Callithrix jacchus: one gene and its partners. The protein of the gene in region 2 purifies or fractionates together with the protein of the main gene of each other region. This does not show direct contact. Links are inferred from orthologs where the notes say so. Each region holds a gene or a part of one and is shown on either strand. Other genes may lie near its edges.

Region 1 (3,650 bases), on a different chromosome or scaffold from region 2:
GAATCCCTGCCCCACTGTCACTAGCTGTGTGGCTAGTCTTCAGCAAGTCACTTCTCTCTGGGCCTCAGGGGCACAATGAGTCTTGCTTTGCCTGTGTTACAGTTGTATGTGATTCAGGCATCAAAACATACCTGAGATCATGTGAACAGAGGTTTGCGATGAGAAGGAGGGAGGGGAATGGTCTTATTCTTCTCTGGGGTGGTCAAGCCCCGAGGATAGGGTCCAGTTTCAGGTCTCAAGTCTGGGTGATGGTGAAGCACTGTGCGTGTTCGTAGCAACCAGCGAAGTGAAGAGACAAGAAAATGCTGCCATCTCAGGAAGTCAAACTCCGCAACCCCCGAAACCCAGCAAAGACCAGAGTGCTATTCAGTGTGGAAAATAGATGACTCAAGGGGGACATGATTGCTGTTTCTTAATACCTGAAGAACCTTCATGGGGAATTCTCGATTGCTTGAGGCTAGGGGTTCAAAACCAACCTGGGCAACATAGCAAGATTCTGTCACTATGAAACATAAAAAAAAAATTAGTTGGATGTGGTGGTGCGTGCCTATAGTCCCAGCTACTAGGGAGGCTGAGGCGAGAGGATCACTTGAGCCTGGGAGGTTGAGGCTGCAGTGGGCCATAATTGTGCCACTGCACTCCAGCCTGGATGACAGAGTGAGAATCTCTCTCTAAAACAAAAACCAAAATCCAAAAAACTACAGATAAGTAGAGAGAAGGCAATCACTCCACTATCTATACCCTACTCAGAGACTGTCACTGCTGACAGTCGGGTGCATGTCCTCCCAGCCTTTCTGTGCTGGTGGGTTGGCATCTGCAGACCCCAGCTGCTGCTTCCATTTGAGGCCCTGAGCAGTCTCTGCTGTCACCTGATGCCACCTGGAAATAGAAAATTTCCCCTTTTAACATCTCCAAGAACTGACCTAGCTTTGCTACAAATGTGCTAGTGAGTATGCAGTGAGAATGCCCTTGAGGCTTCCTGGGGGAAGGACCACTCCCCAGGTCCCACCACACGGCTCCATACCCCAGCTTCCCTTCTTTTTTCTTTTTTTGAGACAGAGTTTTGCTCTTGTTGCCCAGGCTGGAGTGCAATGGCACGATCTCGGCTCACTGCAACCTCCGCCTCCTGGGTTCAAGTGATTTTCTTGCCTCAGCCTCCCAAGTAGCTGGGATTACAGGCATGTGCCACCAAGCCTGGCTAATTTTTAAAATATTTTTAGTAGAGACAGAGTTTCTCCATGGTGGTCAGGCTGGTCTTGAACTCCCGATCTCAGGTGATCTGTCTGCCTTGGCCTCCCAAAGTGCTGGGATTACAGGTGTGAGCCACAGTGTCCAGCTCCACTTCTGTTTTTTTGTCCTCCAGAATGAGGGGATTCCCTCTTTGACCCTCATTCTGCCTTGCTGGCCTTCATACCTCATTCTTTGTCATTCGGTAGCTCCCTATGTCTTCCTGCCGCACCTATGCACTCATCAGGGACTCCATCAGACAAGACCTTCCAGTACAGGACCCTCTTCTCCTACTCAGGGGGGATTTGGGGGTTTTCTGTTGTTTCTTGTGCTCACCCCTTGGGATTTTATGCCCCATCCTGAAATCTTCTGCCCAGTTCTTACATCAACTTGCATCAGCTGATGGATATATGCTAATTATTCATCCTTTATAAACATGGACCAATACTGCATGGGCTTTTTTGTAATCTGCTTTAGAAAACAACATATCAGAAGCAGTTTTGAAGAGAACGTGTCCCACTGCCAGCTCTGTTTCAAGATGGGCAGGGCTGTCTCGGGAGGTAGTGAGCTCCCAGTTACTGTGGGCAGTGAAGCAGGAGCTGTGGGACTATTGCTGGGAAAATTGGAGGGTGGGCAAGAAGCCCCCCAAATGCCCTTGCTCTGTGATGTCTATGGGGCAATGAAAGAAGCAGTACCTGGACTATTCTGGACTGACTGGCGAAGAACCCTAACCAGAAGGAGAGGTCTGAGCAGGAATGGCTGGATGCTGGCTTCTGGAGAGAGTGGTGGCTGCTGGCTGGCATTGTCCCAGGCCTGATGGAGAGTCAGAAGGATGCTCAGTAAAGCACAGCCTGACCTGCACCTTCTTCCAGGTCTACATGTTCAAGTGCGTGTGGCGGTGCTACAGATTCATCAAGTTCCTGAACTCGGCTGAGGAGAGGAGCAACTCCAAGATGCTCCGGAAGGTGAGTGTTGATCCCAGCCCTGCCACTCACTCCCTGTGCCATTTGGGTCACACCTCTTTCCCTCTGTGGGCCTCGGTTTCTCTATTTGTAAGATGAGGGTTGGATCAGAAGAAATGTGACCTCTTTCAGTTCTGATAGTCTAAGATTCTATTCATTCACTCACTCACTCACTCACTCATTCATTTATTCAGTATTTACTGCTTCTCACTCTTGGCTAGTCTCATATCTATTCCAAGGGGTGCAGAGAAAACTAAGATGCCACCTCTACCTCAGAGAAGTATATAGTCCAGGGTGAATTCAGACACATAGATACAATTACAACTTGGTGCGAAGCACAGGGACAATAAGCACAGGGACCTGGCTTCTTCTTGGGCATCAGGGAAGGCTTCCTGGAGGAGGTGACAGTTGATTGGTCTTGGAGGGTCAATGGATATGAGATAGCTGGGAAAGAAGAAGGAGCTTTCCAAGAAGAGAGGATGGGGTGCGCTTGGAAACTGCTTATTGGAAAGTGATGGTTTAAATTTCTGGTAACTTACTTTTGTCACCTGTAAGGTGGAGGTTGGATTAGTTAAGACACTTTTGGTTGCAAGTGGCAGAAACCCAACTCAATCTGACTTAAGTAACAGAAGGAACTTACTAGCTCACAGAACTTAGCAGTCAAACGTAGGACTGGCTTGGGCCTGGCCGAGTCCTGACATCAGGACATGATCTCATCCTCTCTATCTCTTGATTCTACTTTCCTTGATGTTGGCTTCATTTTCAGGAAGCCCGTCCCTCGTGGTGGCAAAATGGCTGCCAAAACCCCTAGGCTAACATCCCATCCTCTCAGTAATCCCAGTGGAAAGAGAATGTCCCAGGAGTATGTCTGACTGGACCAGCTTGGGCCATATGCCTGTGCTGAAACCAAAGACTATAGCCAGGGGGATAGAATCCTAATTTGAGTGGCCAAGTCTGGCCACCCTACTGGATCTGTGGGACGGGGCCAGTTCTTCTGAAGGTATATGGACTGTAAATGTCTTCCCAAGGAAAATGGTGCACTGCTTTCAAAATAAGGGGGTCTTCATGCTGAACAGGCAAGTGTGTCCACTACTGGGAAGTGTGCCTATCTCATGCAGGCAATGTGTAGCACATAGCAGGTATCCAAGACCTGTCAGTCATTATCACCATCATCATCATCATCATCATCATTTTGCCAGAGGTGGGAGTTTGGGTCCCACGATCCTAGGTTGGAATTGCGGGTTGTTCTTGACCATACTCAGCCCTCATCTCTCTGTCTCTCCCAGGTGGTCCTGCCATCCTATGAGGAAGCCCTGTCTTTGCCATCGAAGGCTCCAGAGGGGGGCCCAGCACCACCCCCATACTCAGAGGTGTGACCCTCGCCAGGCCCCAGCCCCAGTGCTGGGAGGGGCGGAGCTGCCTCATAATCCGCTTCTTTGCTTTGGTGGCCCCTGTGGCTTG
Region 2 (3,650 bases):
CTTGACTATCTGCTCTTGAAGAGACAGGTGAGAGGACAGTCCCATCAGAGCACACTGGTACAAAGAGACTTACTGGTCCAGTTATTGCTACATTCTGCAACCGAGGATCTTCCCATTGTGTTCTTTTTATATCTGAAGGGTAGAAAAAGAAAAAAGATGCTCTTTCTCACATATAAAATTTATTATAAAAAATAACATAATGAAAAATCACATTGAACATACTGTGATTTATGTAGAAGATTCTTCCATCTGTGTGAGTTCTCTCTTCCCATCCTGGCTATAATGAAGAATGTATTTCAATTATTTTAGGATAGGGTTTTAGATGTATGGATAGAAAAATAGCACTGATTGTATGGTTAATTTAAATTGCATATTCCATTCCATTCTTAGAAGGTATCAACATTTTAATAATAAGATTAATTAGGCTGATAAAGAACTACTCTATCCCAAAATACAAAATATTTGAGATAGCCAAGTAAGAGAGGTTAGCATTTCTATACACTTACAGGTAAAGGCCCGAGATCACTGGAAGTATCAAGTGCTGTCTTTCCTCTCAGATGGGCTGGAATTTTCAATCTTGGATCTTCCTTTTGTGGTAGAGTAAATAAAGAACAACACACACACATTTCAAAATAATGAAAGTCAGTCTATTACCATGTTTTCCAATATCAATGGACGTTTGAAATATTCTCTTGTAAAAGTCCTTTCGTGTTTTATTTCCTAAATATGTGACATAATATTTTCTCCTGAAATCTATCACTCTCAGGCTATAATATCAAAAGGAATAAGGATCAGTTCTCAGGGATCACCGCTAACTGGTCACCTCTTTGCCTGCTCTTTAGGAAATGTGTCACTCTATAGGGGTTTTCTCTACGTAAAAACTGGTAAAAGAGTGGGGCATTAAATTGGACCACGTGATATTTCTAAGTCCCAGAACATGCATTTTGGCAGCTATCTGTTCAAGTTGATTCATATTTTTGAATAACAGGAAGGTAAGCCCAAAGAGGTTATTAATGGTCAATTCAGAATGTTAAAAATGTGAACAAAATTCAATGTATTTGGTTTAATTTACATATATTTTTACTTTAATATTATTAATAAGGTGTGCTGGTCTTTTAATAATTAATTAAAATTTATTCATCTGCTGCTAATTTTGAGCAATTTTTCTAGTGGTAAGCCAAGCACTAAACAACTTGAAGCCTTACCTTAAAAAAAAAACTTGCTCTACCTAGCCTCGCAAGGTTTTCTGATATTGAGATATGGATTCAAAAGTTTTTTGGAGCTAGAAAGCCTCATATAAAAGCAAAGGATTATTCCTACATATCTTCCTAAGCATTTATGGCTAGTGGGCTAACAACTGGAAACAGGAAGTAAACATGAGTATCTCCATCATAATCCAAAACAATATTAAAAAGAGGGGTAAGTGTGTTCCTGAATATAAATAATATTATTAAGAATTCAATATATTTTTCAATGAATCCTAGAAAACATAGGTTATACTAATATACACTTAAAGATGATAAGGAACTATACATAAGAGATGATTATTGTTGTTATAAATTTAAATGGAAGAGTATCAGAGTTACCCAGGTGGTGGTTTTAGTGTTGTGGTCAATAAAGAAAGGCCTCCCATTTGGTGCATGCCGGACTTCCCAGCCTTTAGGAAGGAATCCTTGCTCAGTTTCAGACGGCTGGGTCACCTGCTGGCCTGAATCACTTGTGGAAGCTTGTGACTGAGGGCCAGCAGAACTCTGGCTTGATGTCAGCTGACTGGTCTCCACTGTGGCCTAGCATATTTATGAAATCATATTATAATATTTTATAGAGAACTCACAAATAGCAGCAGTTAAAAAGGTAACTTAACCTGCAAATGCAATACACATCCTCCTTTAAAGAGACTCTAAACATTTGAGGTTCTTTTTCAAATGTAGTTATGGCATATTAATATTTTCCCAACATTTTAATAATGCAGTACATTTAATAACATTTTTCCAATAAGCTATTTTGTCAAACTTGATTTTAATAATAATTTATAATTTCTCAACTAATTCTCAAGCAGTGAGATAGCAGTTAACAGTCTGCTGTGGGTGCATCTGACTGAGGGAGCAAGGTCCACAAGCTCAAGCCCTAGCTGCAAGTGGAGTTATGGTGCCTATAGTAGGAGGTTGTCTTTATTCTCCCAAAACTTATAGGATGGGGGGTTCCTCATACAGAGAAGTAGATTCAAATGTCAGGCAGACAAAATGAATGACAAATATCTACCACAGAAGTCGAAATTGAAATGTAATATAGTCATATGATGGAATATTAGTAGTTAAGAGAAATACACTGCATCTATAAATAACAACACAGAGCTTTAAAACAGTGTTAAGCAAAAAAAGATGTAGACTTATGGGGCCACAACATCAATTAAAAAAAGGGTTTTTTTTAATCGAGCAGCACCTCATTCTATAAAATGAGTGTTCCCTCGTTGCAAAATTAGAAACACAGGCATATAAACAATATTTTACTTTTTTTTTTTGAGATGGAGTCTCACTGTGTTGTCCAGGCTGGAGTGCAATGGTGCAGTCTCTGCTCACTGCAACCTGTGACTCCTGGGTTCAAGCAATTCTCTTGCCTCAGCCTCCCGAGTAGCTGGGATCCAGGCACGTGCCACCACAACCAGCTAATTTTTATATTTTTAGTAGAGACAGGGTTTCACCATGTTGGTCAGGCTGGCCTCGAATTCCTGACCTTGTGATCTGCCCACCTCACCCTCCCAAAGTGCTGGGATTATGGGTGTGAGCCACTGCACCCAGCATATTTTAATTTACATTTTCTAAGCTCTTTAAGTATATAAAATATGCTAGAAGAATACACAACAAATTCAAGACTGTGGTTCCCCCTGGGGAACGGAACCAAGAGCTTGGCTAAAAGAAATTTAGGTTAATCTTTAAGACTTTATTTTATTTTATTTTATTTTGAGATGGAGTTTTGCTCATTACCCAGGCTGGAGTGCAATGGCACTATCTCGGCTCACCGCAACCTCCGCCTCCTGGATTCAGGCAATTCTCCTGCCTCAGCCTCCTGAGTAGCTGGAATTACAGGCACACACCACCATGCCCAGCTAATTTTTTGTATTTTTAGTAGAGATGGGGTTTCACCATGTTGACCAGGATGGTCTCGATCTCTTGACCTCGTGATCCACTCGCCTCGGCCTCCCAAAGTGCTGGGATTACAGACTTGAGCCACTGCACCCGGCCAAGACTTTATTTTTAAAAATAAAATTTCTAGGAATTAATATGGTAACTTATTAATGATGGTAATTCTGAATAAAGAATATGTGTATCTGCTACATTATCTTCTAGACTTTTCAGTGTTAAAAATTTTCTCAACAAGAGATATGGCAACAAGAGAAAATAAATATTTTGCTAAACACTTAAAAGGAACTATTACAGGTGAAACTGTTGCCAAGGGTGAGGTGTTATCAGCATTAATTTCTTTAATAGATACCAATCACCAAGATTATGTTTTAGTTAAAATAATGATCTTAACTATTCAAATTATAAAAATACACAAAGACCAGATTTTTGCTTTTTCCTCTTATTCTCATTTGAACTTGTTTTATATAATAACAAGTGGTAATTTGTATATATTAGAGAGTCACAGGA
Region 3 (4,305 bases), on a different chromosome or scaffold from region 2:
GAAATAAGGAATATGTAATTGTGGGGGCCGGGTTAAGATAATGTACTCCCTATAAAAGTAGAGAAATGTCATAATTCATTCTGAGTTAAATAGCCAGTCACCCTCCATCCTTTAGCGTGGGTTGGCTTAACTACTGCTTCCCAGATAGTTTGAAAGTAGGCTCCATGGACAACTCCTTCAGTGGTGAACAAATAGTCTCTACTCTTCCAGAATTTGTATTTTATTGGGAAGATAATCAACAAATATGTACACAATTTCAGGCAGTTATCAAAGAAGCCATGCCAAGGAAATAACCTTTACTCTGAATTCACTGTGGTCTCTGGCTAAGAAACACGTGGCAGAAGGGAAGTTCTTTCTATTCTCTGAAAAGAAGTGTGTTTACCAAAGCATTAAAATAATAAATACATTTTTTAAAGATAAAGTCTCAGGTCTCACACAAATACAAATGAACAGTGTAAAAAATTTATTTACTCATTAACCAGGGACCAGTAAGCTGTCAGAATCAGCTCTAAGCAGAATAAAGCATCCACCTATATCGTTGAATCAAGACAGGGGAATGAATTTACAAATCGATGCAAAATACCTTTCCCCAAGGAGGGGTAAGATACAAGATGAAATCCAGAGGAGGGGTCTTACAGAGTTGTGCAGAGCACCACAAAGAAAGGCGAACAGCAGAATGCCCAGGACGGGGTGCCAAACTGTGGCTGTTTTTTCACTGAAGACATTCGGTAATTTTTTGGTCCATTTCAATGTGTTTCATAATTTTTCCCTACAAAAAAATCACTAATCTCTAAAAACCCAGCAGCTAAGCAGTTCTACGTTATCTTGTTTTCATTTATCCTTAATCCTTTTGCCTTTGGCAGGGTTGGATGGTATTTCTTCGCCCCCACAAAGGAAGCTTCGGAGGGATGAGAGGGTGTAAATCCAATCCCTCCACCCCTCCGCACAGCCCCCCATTTCCGCAACAGGGGTGAGGACACCTCCACGCGGAACTTAGTCCCGCCCCTTCCTAACAGACCCCACCCCTGAACCGCCCAATAATCGAGGGGCGCGCAAAGGTCACGTGACCAGCCCGTGACGCTTCCGAAGCAGTACGTGGCACACAGTGCTCAGGAAAGCCTGTGGTGCTTGCTTTGTGCCATCTGCGCCATCTCGTGTCTCCTGTTTCCCATTAAATGCCTCTTTTCTTGTGGGTCTCATCTCGGGGATGGTGAACTACGGGGCTACAGGATCCTAGGCCCAAGAACCAGCCCTTGCCCTCAAGTAACAGGCGGAGACTGGCTGAGGAGAGTTGCACTTCTAATTGGGCGTGAGGTCTTGTCAATCTCGTAGTTCTTCCAATCAGAAGTCGGGTCCATCCAGTCTTCCGCTCTCCATTGGCCTGTGTGGAGGAAGAGGGGTGGGTAAGCCGAAGTCGCTGCTCTCAATGCGCAGGCGCGAAGGAGCTGACCTGGTCCCAGGCCGAGTGCGGGCTTGAAGACGCGTCGTTTGGTTTTGGAGACCGTGACCGAGCTGTTTGAGTTTGACTGCGGGGTGGAGAACGTTTGTCAGGGGCCCGGCCAAGAAAGGTCCGCAAGATTCCCGATGGTGTCCATGACTTTCAAGCGGAGCCGCAGCGACCGGTTCTACAGCACCCGGTGCTGCGGCTGTTGCCATGTCCGCACCGGTACCATCATCCTGGGGACCTGGTACATGGTAAGGCGGGCGGGCGTGGCGCGCAGGACCAGGGGCCCTGGGGAGCCAGGCCTGGTGCGGAGGGGGTGGGACTGGAAACGGGGTGTTGGGTGGGGTGGGGACGTGGAGGGGCGCTGCTTTTTAGGGCGCGCCAACTCTGGATGAAGTCCAGGGACTCTGGGGAAGGAACCTAGTCCAGGAATCGGAGTGGGGGGGTGGTAAGCATGGGGAGATTGTTCTTCGGCAAGAATTTGAGGAGAAAAGCGAGCTTGGGAGAGCAGAGGCGTTTTAGGCGAAGGCACGAGGGTGCTCGGATGTGGTGGGAATTCCTCTGTTTTGGCTCTTTTTGTATTTCTGCGATCTGAAAGGCAGCCCCTCCCTTTCTCCTACCCAGTGCTCCCTGGAATTTTTTTCCCCTAATGAAACAATTAGGAGCAGACCTTGATAAATGCAGTTTAGTTTCGACATTGTCTTCCGGTTGGGAAAGCGAAAGATCCAGCGGTAATCCAGTTGTCTGTTTCCTGGACTTTGTTTTGTTACACTGCCTCTTTTGCGAGTCTTCAGAATCGCTTGGGGGCGATAGCATTTGCCCGAGTTTACGCCTGACCAGCTTTTGTCCTGGTGCAGCCTCCTCCCTGCGCAGTAGATGCTCGTCGTTGCCGACCCGCTGTTTTTACGGAGACCTTTATTGAAAGGCCTCTCCGCCCTGGCCACCTACGCTGATATCTCCTGGGTTCCAAGATCTGTCCTAACCAAGTTGACACTTGTTGACTGGTGGTTCACTAGTAATATGTTTGTGATTTTTCTTTTTTAATTTACCGTTTATAGTGTCCATGCACATTAAACCTAACTTGTCCTTGACTTCCAAATACGTGATTCAGTTTAGGTAGTTTTAGGTTATTAAGACTTTACAGAAGCTGTGACGAACTTCTTACATGGTCGACTTGGCCACTTTCTTTAATGACGTCGTGAATATGGTTGTGTGGGGAGTGCACCTCGATCATACGGTGCTGTTTTTAATATTTAAGTGAACTGCAAAAGAGGAAGAGAGTTATCCCAGATGCTGTTTTTCTCTGTACTCGCTGCTTCTCCCCACCCATTGTCTTGAAATCATTAGTAAGCATTTGGACAAACGCCAGATGCGAATCATCGTAAATGAGGCAGATATTGTTTCCTGGCCCACCCCCGGGGGACTACCTGACTCCACTTTCCTCCTACCTGCCGGGTTGTTAGTTACCGTCTTGTTTCTGGTGTACATTTAAAAAACAACTCGAATCTTGTGCTGAGTTTATTTTCTTGTTTCCTATACTTTTATATTCAGAAATACCATCTTATTGGTAGAACTGTATCACATTTTCCCACAGAGACTCTTTTGTTCTGTATTTTAACTGATTTGGAATTCCAAACACATAGTTAATGACCATCAGCTGCATTACGTTTCTAACTTCGATTTCAGTCTTCTCCATTTTGCTGAGGGGCTCAGTCTAATTTCTTTTGTTTGTCTTTATCTCTGTCTTCTATTTCCCTAAGTGAATGATTCTAACCTTGAGGATCCTCCAGCCTCTTACTCAATTCCGTCTTCCTCACCCCCAGAAAAGGACCTTCTCTCCTTCTAAACTAAGAGAATCCATCGGCCTGGCTCTCTCGCCTGCAGTCTGAGTCCTCCCGTTTCTTCTCGGATCCTTCCCTCTACTCACAGAACAAAGGGTTCCTAACTCCTTCAGAGTAGTACCACCATTTCTGTTTCAACCATCCGGATGTAATTGGCTGTATTTCTTTTCAGTTTTTTTTTAAGGCAGATTTTTTTCACGCTATGGGTTCAGCTGGAAAATGAATAGAATAGCGGGAGAAATTGGGAACTACAAACAGGAAACTCAAAATGCAGAGAGAAAAACTTCAGCAGGGGCGTTTATTCTTACAAAGTAAGAGCTTACATCTGTTCCCTACTATAAGCCCTTGTTGTGAGAAGGATTCATGTATCTCTGAAGACCGTGCTTTAGTTTCACAATTTTAAAAAGATGCCATAGCTGTTCTTATTTTGCATAGACTTCTCAGGTTAGTGTAAAACATTTTGTTGTAAACCGCTTAAATCATTTCACCTGTCTGAAATTGATTACGAGATTTACTGACTATCTGCAGTGTAAAAGGCTTTGATGGACATACAGAAGGAATAAACACAGGGACCATGTGTCATTTGTCTTCTGTTCTCCTATGACCTGCCAAATGTTAGATTCTCAAATGTTTCTTGTCTAACAGAGCATATGCCCTTAAGATGTTTATGTTATCACAAAGAACTTGGAACACAGGTATGAAAAACTTATGGTACAGTGATGAAGGAGGAGGGGAAGATAATCAGTAATACAAGATTCTCATCAGAATAAGTACTGGAAAAAGGCCATTGGTTTTGTTTATCATAGTGTTGTTGATGACTTTCAGAGGTGCTTCAGTACCATAGCAATGTAAAAACAGTCTCTGCCGACTTGGGGAGATATGTCAGACTTGTGACACAAGACCACCTAGTCCAAAATGTAGTATAATATTTTGAAACTAAGAGGGCTTGTCCAAGCAATGCATTTTGTTCTCAGAAGCTGCTTTACGAAGACAGAAAAACAACATGGGGATGAGTGAGTA

The links.
Region 1: the proteins of NEDD4 (region 2) and LAPTM5 purify together in Homo sapiens (affinity purification with western blotting; 3 studies listed by BioGRID and IntAct, with this or other methods). This does not show direct contact. The link is inferred for Callithrix jacchus from reciprocal best matches to the Homo sapiens genes NEDD4 and LAPTM5.
Region 3: the proteins of NEDD4 (region 2) and LAPTM4A purify together in Homo sapiens (affinity purification with western blotting; 3 studies listed by BioGRID). This does not show direct contact. The link is inferred for Callithrix jacchus from reciprocal best matches to the Homo sapiens genes NEDD4 and LAPTM4A.

The regions. Positions count from the first base shown.
Region 1 is NC_133508.1:67,389,055-67,392,704, reverse strand, and holds part of LAPTM5 (lysosomal-associated transmembrane protein 5), read left to right. Parts: intron 1-2,099; coding exon 2,100-2,192; intron 2,193-3,475; coding exon 3,476-3,565; 3' UTR 3,566-3,650. UniProt on the Homo sapiens protein: May have a special functional role during embryogenesis and in adult hematopoietic cells.
Region 2 is NC_133509.1:43,627,836-43,631,485, forward strand, and holds part of NEDD4 (E3 ubiquitin-protein ligase NEDD4), read right to left. Parts: intron 1,788-3,650; coding exon 1,587-1,787; intron 588-1,586; coding exon 507-587; intron 278-506; coding exon 223-277; intron 133-222; coding exon 74-132; intron 1-73. UniProt on the Homo sapiens protein: E3 ubiquitin-protein ligase which accepts ubiquitin from an E2 ubiquitin-conjugating enzyme in the form of a thioester and then directly transfers the ubiquitin to targeted substrates. Specifically ubiquitinates 'Lys-63' in target proteins.
Region 3 is NC_133515.1:95,163,177-95,167,481, forward strand, and holds the start of LAPTM4A (lysosomal-associated transmembrane protein 4A), read left to right. Parts: upstream 1-1,452; 5' UTR 1,453-1,584; coding exon 1,585-1,695; intron 1,696-4,305. UniProt on the Homo sapiens protein: May function in the transport of nucleosides and/or nucleoside derivatives between the cytosol and the lumen of an intracellular membrane-bound compartment.